Linked DNA regions of Callithrix jacchus. The main gene of each other region encodes a partner of the protein of the gene in region 2 in a complex. Links are inferred from orthologs where the notes say so. Each region holds a gene or a part of one and is shown on either strand. Other genes may lie near its edges.

Region 1 (3,204 bases), about 20 Mb from region 2:
GCACCTCCTTCACCCCTGCCTGCCGCATCTGGCCAGAATCCCCAGAGTGGCATCCTCTCACTCCTTCTCCAGTCAGCAGCCTTCCTGGCTGGCCCTTAAAAATAGCCACTTCTTGCTGTGGAAGGCAACGCAGGAGAGGGATGAGACTGGTTAGGTCCAGGAGGAGGTGGGTGCGCAGGGAGGTGACAGCTGCATTTCCTCTGCTGACTTGGGGCCAGACTGGGGGCTTGGCCAATGGGTCCCAGCATAGCATCTATGTGAAGTGGGGGGAAGTTACAGGCTGGGCAGTGATGGCTACCTTGCTGACCTCAATGCCCCCAACCCCTGCCATGGGTTTCAGGGACAGAGGAGGTACCATGTGTCAATGCAGGCTAAATCCCAGAACTGCTTTCTCAAGGAGCAGAGAGGCTAGGCTCTGCGACAGGGAGGGCAGGAGAGCCAGCACCTCTGTCCCTTCCCAAACAGTGGAGTCAGCCTCACTACTTTCTTGGGGACAGCCTGTAAGAGAGGTTTGCATAGCTACGTGAACGGGACAGGCTTTTGTGGCAAGTTGGCTGTCTAAGGGGAAGGGACTGGGGAAGGAGGCACAGAATTCAGCCTTGCTTCCTGACCTCCAGACTAAGAGGCTAGCGGTCCGATTCTCCCTCCTCGTCACCCACCAAAGGTATTTGGTCACTGGGGTGAGAAGCCCAGCTGTGATGAGGCTGAAAGAGAAAAGAGAGAAAAAACAATTGAGTTGTTGATTTCTGGACACTGGGGTTGGGGACCCTTGTGACTGGGAAGCCACAGGGAAGAGGCAGGATCCTCCTGGCAGGTGTCTGAGGTTCTGGGAAAGCACCCTGCTTTGGGCCGTGTGTTTATGGGGAGCTGTCTCCACCCCTAGCACGTTCTCAGCAGAGCAGAGCCTGGCGGGGTTCAGGGGCTGGGGGTGGCCGAAGCTATGAGTTAGAACCCAAACTGGCAGGAACAGGAGAGAATGCTTTTATCTCTGGCCTTGGGACTGGAGGTCACCACTCACCCAGATGTTTGTATTGACCTCTGAGGCACCTGCACATAATATTCGGAGTTGGAGGCTCCTCGGAGGTCTTTTGATTAGCCATGGAACTCTGATCAAATTAAATTTTACTTGGAGCCTCAATCTAAGAGACATCACTGTCTGGTTTAAAAAGAGGGTGGAAGGAATAGCACTTTAGCTTTTGCAATCTGATGGTCCCAAGACCTCTCTTGAGAACCCAATTTGGGGAAAATCATGATCCCATCCACTGCCCTCTGTAAACCCAAGGGTGGGACCTGAGGTCCAGAAAATCACCTTGCCCTTTCTCTGGGTTGCACAGCATAGTAGTAGCTGGGCTGGAGCCGAAGTCCACGTTTTGGGTTCCTGCTCTTTGGAGCAGTTGCTGCTGGGCTGTGACAAGCATGTGGGCCAGCTGGGGTTAGGGATCTGCCAATAACCATCCTCTTACCTTCTCTGACAGCAAAGCTCATCGTGGAGACGGACACCTTTGGAAGCAGAGTTCGAGTCCGAGGAGCCGAGACAGGCCTCTACATCTGCATGAACAAGAAGGGGAAGCTGATTGCCAAGGTGAGGCCCTGGCAGGCAGGTGTGGTTTGCCGGGACCTGGGGGGTGGCTTGGGCTGGCTGGACTCCTCCAGGACAGTCCTGTGCTCTGATCCCAACAGGGTGGCCAGAGGGACACAGGGCTGTCTTGGGGTTACCTCGTGATGGGGTGCAGGGGCGAGGGTGAGAGATGAAAAGCTATAAAGGCAAAGGAGGAAGAACGAAGGCTAGGGAAGGGACTGGGGGGGTTGGTAAATTCCATATATCTTTTTAACAAATCGCCAAATTGCTTTGCTATTATGTCCAATTACATGGTACCAGCATTTGGAATGTTCAGTAAGCCGCACGCCCGGCCCCTCGGCCGAGCTCTAAAATGGCCCCATTAGTCACGGCTCCTCTCCAGCCTCGAGCGCCCCGCTTCCTGGGCTTCTGGGGATGGGGTCTTAGCGTCTCCTCCCAGGCCTCCCCTCCCCCATAGGGTGGCTGCCCTAGGGCCAGGGAGCCAAAGTCCTGAGGGGATGAGAGGGGCAGGTGGGGAGACGGGTGGCCAGACTGGTGGGCAGGAGGCCAGAGCAGGCAGGCTCTGGGCCCCTCTCTCTGCTTCTGTGAGTTGGGGCCCAGCCCCTCCGTAGACAACCATGTGTCACTGCTGCCTGGGGGGACAGGAAGTTGCCGGGTGGGCTGCGGGTTGTGAGGGATTAGAGAGCGGGTGCCCGGGCAGGGGGTGGGGCTGCGGCTCCTGCCCACCTCGCCATCTGCTGGGGTGCCCACCTGCTGTCTGGAGCTGCTTGCCCTCTGCCTCTGCGGGGGCGGGGGTGGGCTCTGTAACGTGGTGTCTGGCTCCCCTACCTGCAGAGCAACGGCAAAGGCAAGGACTGCGTCTTCACGGAGATCGTGCTGGAGAACAACTACACCGCCCTGCAGAATGCCAAGTACGAGGGCTGGTACATGGCCTTCACCCGCAAGGGCCGGCCCCGCAAGGGCTCCAAGACGCGGCAGCACCAGCGCGAGGTCCACTTCATGAAGCGGCTGCCCCGAGGCCACCACACCACTGAGCAGAGCCTGCGCTTCGAGTTCCTCAACTACCCGCCCTTCACGCGCAGCCTGCGTGGCAGCCAGAGGACTTGGGCCCCCGAGCCCCGATAGGTGCTGCTCGGCCCTCCCCCAGCGCCAGACCACAGAGAGGCGCACCCTGATGGGCACCCAAAACTCAAGCCAGAGGAGCCCTGTGCTGCTGCAGGCCGGGGTGGGGCTGGGGGAGCCCTGGGTTCCGGTTGTGGATATTGTTTGCTGTTGGGTTTTTGCTGTTTTTTTTTTTTTTTTTTTTTTTAAACAAAAGAGAGGCTCTATTTTTGTATTCCACTTGGCTGTGGTGTCTGTCTTCTTAACTCTCAGAAAGCCCCATCAGTGGCTTAGACTGGGATTCCGACTGGAGGTTTGGGGGGTACAGGGGGCTTTCTCTAGCCTGTGCTGCTGAGGCCCCAGCACCTGCAGGGCCAGCTGGCTGGGCAGCCAAGAACTCCACTGCACCCCCAGGTGGGGTAGGAAGGAAAGTACTGTGACATAGGCCAGTCCTTCTAGAAGTGGGTATCAGACTGGTTGCTATTAAATGATTGAAATAGTTATTTAACTTGCATATTAAAAAT
Region 2 (4,102 bases):
TCGCATCAATGTTTTCTGTGCTATACTGTGAATAAAAATGATTTTCTAATCATGTGGCACCTTGAAAAAAAATTTTTGTAAATGTTAGGAAGTATGCAATGCTAGTGACGCAGGTGCAAATATGTTTCTAAGGGCAGGAAAAGTCTGTTTTCCAAGTCAGGTTTGTTCTCAATGCTTCATCTATCTTCAGGCCTCAAAAGGATTCTAAAGCATTTCTGGGTTTAGTGACCTTTTCTAAAGAAAAATAATTAAGGTTTTAATCTATACCGTCTTGAACCGAGCACGGCTGCTCTGGAGCTGGATGAATAAGGAGGAAGAAAAAGCATATTTAAAATGAATGAATCCGAAGACACGGCTTAGGGAAAAGGGTAAATGGAAATAGGAACTTTAGCCAGTTACAGCTTGGTGTGGACTTGAAGAATCAGATTTTGCATTTATGATTTTGAATCTAGGATTCAGAGGGAGGAATTAGCTTGCTCAAGATCAGCTACTTATGGCAGAGTTGAATCTTTAGACTTCTTTGAATTTCTTTTAATTAATCCAAACATATACTACTAAACACTTATTTTTTTGAATGCAATTTTTGGCTTTTTCTGAGAGAGCCACATTCAAAGTCAGGCTCTCTCAATAGCCAGCTGTGTGATCCTAGGCAAATTACTGAACATCTCTGATCTTCAGTTTCCTTATCAGAAACTGGGAATATTACTCTGCAGGGTGGTTGGGCAGGCGAAATAGAATCACCTATGTAGTGTGACCCGCCCATAGTAGGGCCCCCATTAATATTCAGTTTTTTCCTCTCATTTCTGTTGTTTAGAAAGACAGAAAAATGCAATGTCCTGCGAACATTTCCAGGCTGCTTCCTCTCCTCCGAAAGCTTCAGTTGCCTGACAACCCTCCCCGCAGTACCAAAAGCAGACCCATTTTAAAGTCTCTTTAGGGGGTGGGCAGGGTTAGAGCCTTCGGTCACTTGTACTTAACGCGGCCGCTCCGGGAGCCGCTGGCCAGCCGCGCTCGCCCGAGGAAGAGGGAGGAGGTCGCGCGGGGCGCGGGACCAGGCCTTATTCGGAGGCTGTCGCTGCATCCCCACGGCCGGATCGCGGCTGGGCCCTCGCCTCCCCGGCCCGTGTCTCGGGCGAGGGCTCGGAGGCGTCGTGAGCCGCGCGGGGCTCGGGGCGGCCCGGGTGCGCGGCGCTGATTGGCAGAGCGGGCGCCGCCGTCCAGGAAACGGCTCGGGTTTCAGCGGGGGCGTGACCCGCCGGGAGGAGGCGGCGGCGGCGGCGCGGGCGGCGGCCGCAGGAGAGCGCGGTGGAGAGCCGAGCGGGCGGGCGGTGGGTGCGGAGCGGACGAGCGAGCGCGCGCGGCAGCCACAAAGCTCGGGCGCCGCGGGGCTGCATGCGGCGTACCTGGCCAGGCGCGGGGACTGCTCTCCGGGCTGGCGGGGGCCGGCCGCGCGCCCCGGGGGCCCAGAGGCCGCAGCTTGCCTGCGCGCTCTGAGCCTTCGCAACTCGCGAGCAAAGTTTGGTGGAGGCAACGCCAAGCCTGAGTCCTTTCTTCCTGTGGCTCCCCAAATCCGAGGGCAGCCCGCAAGCGTCATGCCCGCGCTCCTCCGCAGCCTGTGGTGCGCGTGAAGTCCGGGAGCCTTGGCGCGGGCGAAGACCTGGGGATCCCTCTTCTGCTTTTGGAGTTGCTCCCCGCAACCCCGGGCTCGTCGCTTTCTCCATCCCGACCCACGCGGGGCGCGGGGACAACACAGATCGCGGAGGAGCGTTGCCATTCAAGGTAATCGCCGCGGAAGACGCCTCTGGGAGCTTCTCCGCCAGCGGGGGAAGTGAGCGCCAAGGGAGCCCGGGACGTCGGGTGCAGCGTCCTCCGGGCGGGGGGCGCGGAAGGACTGGCATTGTGGGGGACGCCCCCTGGCCTTCCTAGGTGGCTGCATAGGTGATGGGGAGGTGGGTGCGTGCTGACGGCCCTTGTTGGGGAAGTTCTGCCTTTGCCACCTTCATCCAGATGCTGACATCTGCCTCTGGTGCAGACGCCCCCCTCCCTGTCAAACCCTGGCGGGCGCTTTCCCTCTGGCTGGGCGCGTTCCTCCAACCCCAGAGCAGACGGGCGGAGGGTTCGCCTGCCGATGGCACAGCCCCGCAGCCCGGGTCCCGCGGAGCATCTCCGAGGTGCCCCATCCGCGGGTCCTGGGAGCTTCCGTACCATCCAGGCCCCGCGGAGACCCCTGTCTCGGGAGGGGGCAGCTGGGGTGGGGCCGCTGACATCCCGTAGGGGTGGTGATGGCCAGGCGTGGCACTGTTGGGGAGGCGGCGGCTCCGGTGCCCGGTTTTCGATGCCTGGGCGCCCCTAGCCCGCAGCCGCTGTAGGCGCTGGAGGGAGCGCAGCGCGCCTGGGGCTAGGGGGCGAACTGGACCGACTTTTTCTAGTTCGCCTGCCTGCTCTGCCGCAGCGGCTGGGAGATGTCGAAAGCGCAGGCGAGTTCTAACTTGCGCGCTCATTCTTTCGGCGACTGGGCCGCGCTGGGGAAATCAGCCGAGGGCCCTGCGTGGCGCTGGCTCCGACCCTCGCGGCCCGCGGACCTGGCGCAGGAGGCCGGCCCGGGGGCCACTAGCCTCGGTCGCTCCCCTCACAGCCCGCTCCCTTGCAAACCGTTCTCCAGACCTTCTTTCCTTTCTCCCAATTCAATCAAACCTACCGTTAAAGGCAAACCTGCTTTGAAACTCAGGGCACCCATTATGTGTTTGGTGTGAAATGCTATCAACATTTAAAACTTCATTGTCCCCGGGTCCCAAATCCGTGTAAATCTTCCACCGGCCTCGACTCATTTTCATCTGAAAAGCCTGTTTAGTTTGAATAGAAAAGCAATCAGGCGCCCCTCTCCCTCTCCCTGGAATGTCAATTAAAATGCAGATTTCTCTGAGCTCTTTAGCGCCCCGAGAAGGGGGAGAAAAACAGGATATTTCGGGCAAACAAATGAAAGAAGTGCTGTCCCGAAAGGGGTGGTGGTGGGGAGCACCCCCAAGCTGCCTGCGAGTTCTGATTGGACGCAAGCATGAAACTGGGAGGGTATTGGGGTCCTGGCCCAGTTTGTGATTTTTGAGATTTCGATTTGTTGAGGAATTTCTCCCCTAGACTTGACCCCTTGACAGCTCCCTTTCCTCCTCAGCTGGGAAGAGGTAGGGAGGCCTTAAGCGAAGAGATGGGTCTGCGCTTTGGAGGAGCCGGGCACTGTGACTTTCCTGATGTGAAATCTACCCAGGAACAAAACAGCAGTGTTCCCTGTGGCCGAGCCAGCAGTGGACCTATCACCTCTTACGTGGAAGCCCAAAGCGGAGGGCTCTGTACTGGCCTGCCTTCTTAGAGGGTCGGGATTTTGGAAATATGGTAAAATTGAAGAGTGCAGCACAGGCCTGGCATGGGGACCACTCCGCAGCCAAGCCCTTCCTGCTTGTCACTCTGCCTGTCTTTGGGGGCAGGCTTGTGCCGAGGTGAAAATGGACGGGGTGGAGGGAGGGTGGGGGGCGGGCGGCCGAGAAGAGCCATCCATCAGAGGGAGGGTGACAACGCCTCCCGCGTGCGGGCTGAGAAGAGAGTTCCCTTTCAAGGGGAAAAATAAACACGCTGGGGCTTTCACTGGGGCTCAGACTCCAGGAAGGATTATGGTATTGAAGGCAGGAAGCCGGGATTGTGGCCGCCAGCGGCATGCTGGGCCTGTGTTCCCAACACCGAGCCTGGGGACCTAATTATCCTGCCTAGGAGGTCGTACCATACTTTTGTCCACTCGGTGAGGAACTGTGAAGACCTGTCGCCTTAGGTCTCCACCTTCCAGAGGTTTGGGGAGGGGGCTGCTGTGGAGCTTGGACCTGGAAATGGCTGAAATGCAAATCTCCAGTGCGGGCTAGCGGGATGTTGGAATGGCTTGAGATTCAGTGGACGGCCCTGTCCACCTTTCTCTGCCTGAAGCTAACAAGGTTCCTCTGGCATGGACAGGTGGGCGAGGAGGCTGGGGAAGGAGCCTGGGGCGAAACCTCTGCCAGGACTCAGGATTGTTCCTGAAGTCGTGTTAAAGGTAGAAAATTCCCCTGCATTCTGGAAATGC

The links.
Region 1: the proteins of FGFR2 (region 2) and FGF8 are in contact, whole or in part, in a crystal structure (PDB 2FDB), measured with the Homo sapiens proteins. The link is inferred for Callithrix jacchus from reciprocal best matches to the Homo sapiens genes FGFR2 and FGF8. Residues at the interface, in NP_000132.3 of Homo sapiens: Glu160, Lys161, Glu163, Lys164, Leu166, His167, Ala168, Val169, Pro170, Asn173, Asp247, Val249, Arg251, Ser252, Ser282, Asp283, Ala284, Gln285, Pro286, His287, Ile288, Gln289, Ile291, His293, Leu309, Val311, Leu312, Lys313, Ala314, Ala315; in NP_149354.1 of Homo sapiens: His53, Val54, Gln57, Asp62, Leu64, Ser65, Arg66, Leu68, Ile69, Arg70, Tyr72, Tyr75, Arg77, Gly80, His82, Val106, Glu107, Thr108, Thr110, Phe111, Gly112, Ser113, Val115, Thr148, Glu149, Ile150, Val151, Leu152, Glu153, Asn154.

Annotation. Positions count from the first base shown.
Region 1 is NC_133513.1:94,723,846-94,727,049, reverse strand, and holds the end of FGF8 (fibroblast growth factor 8), read left to right. Parts: intron 1-611; exon of another isoform or gene 612-704; intron 705-1,463; exon of another isoform or gene 1,464-1,475; coding exon 1,476-1,582; intron 1,583-2,407; exon of another isoform or gene 2,408-2,413; coding exon 2,414-2,704; downstream 2,705-3,204. UniProt on the Homo sapiens protein: Plays an important role in the regulation of embryonic development, cell proliferation, cell differentiation and cell migration. Required for normal brain, eye, ear and limb development during embryogenesis.
Region 2 is NC_133513.1:115,006,272-115,010,373, reverse strand, and holds the start of FGFR2 (fibroblast growth factor receptor 2), read left to right. Parts: upstream 1-1,302; 5' UTR 1,303-1,779; intron 1,780-3,101; exon of another isoform or gene 3,102-3,491; intron 3,492-3,645; exon of another isoform or gene 3,646-4,072; intron 4,073-4,102. UniProt on the Homo sapiens protein: Tyrosine-protein kinase that acts as a cell-surface receptor for fibroblast growth factors and plays an essential role in the regulation of cell proliferation, differentiation, migration and apoptosis, and in the regulation of embryonic development.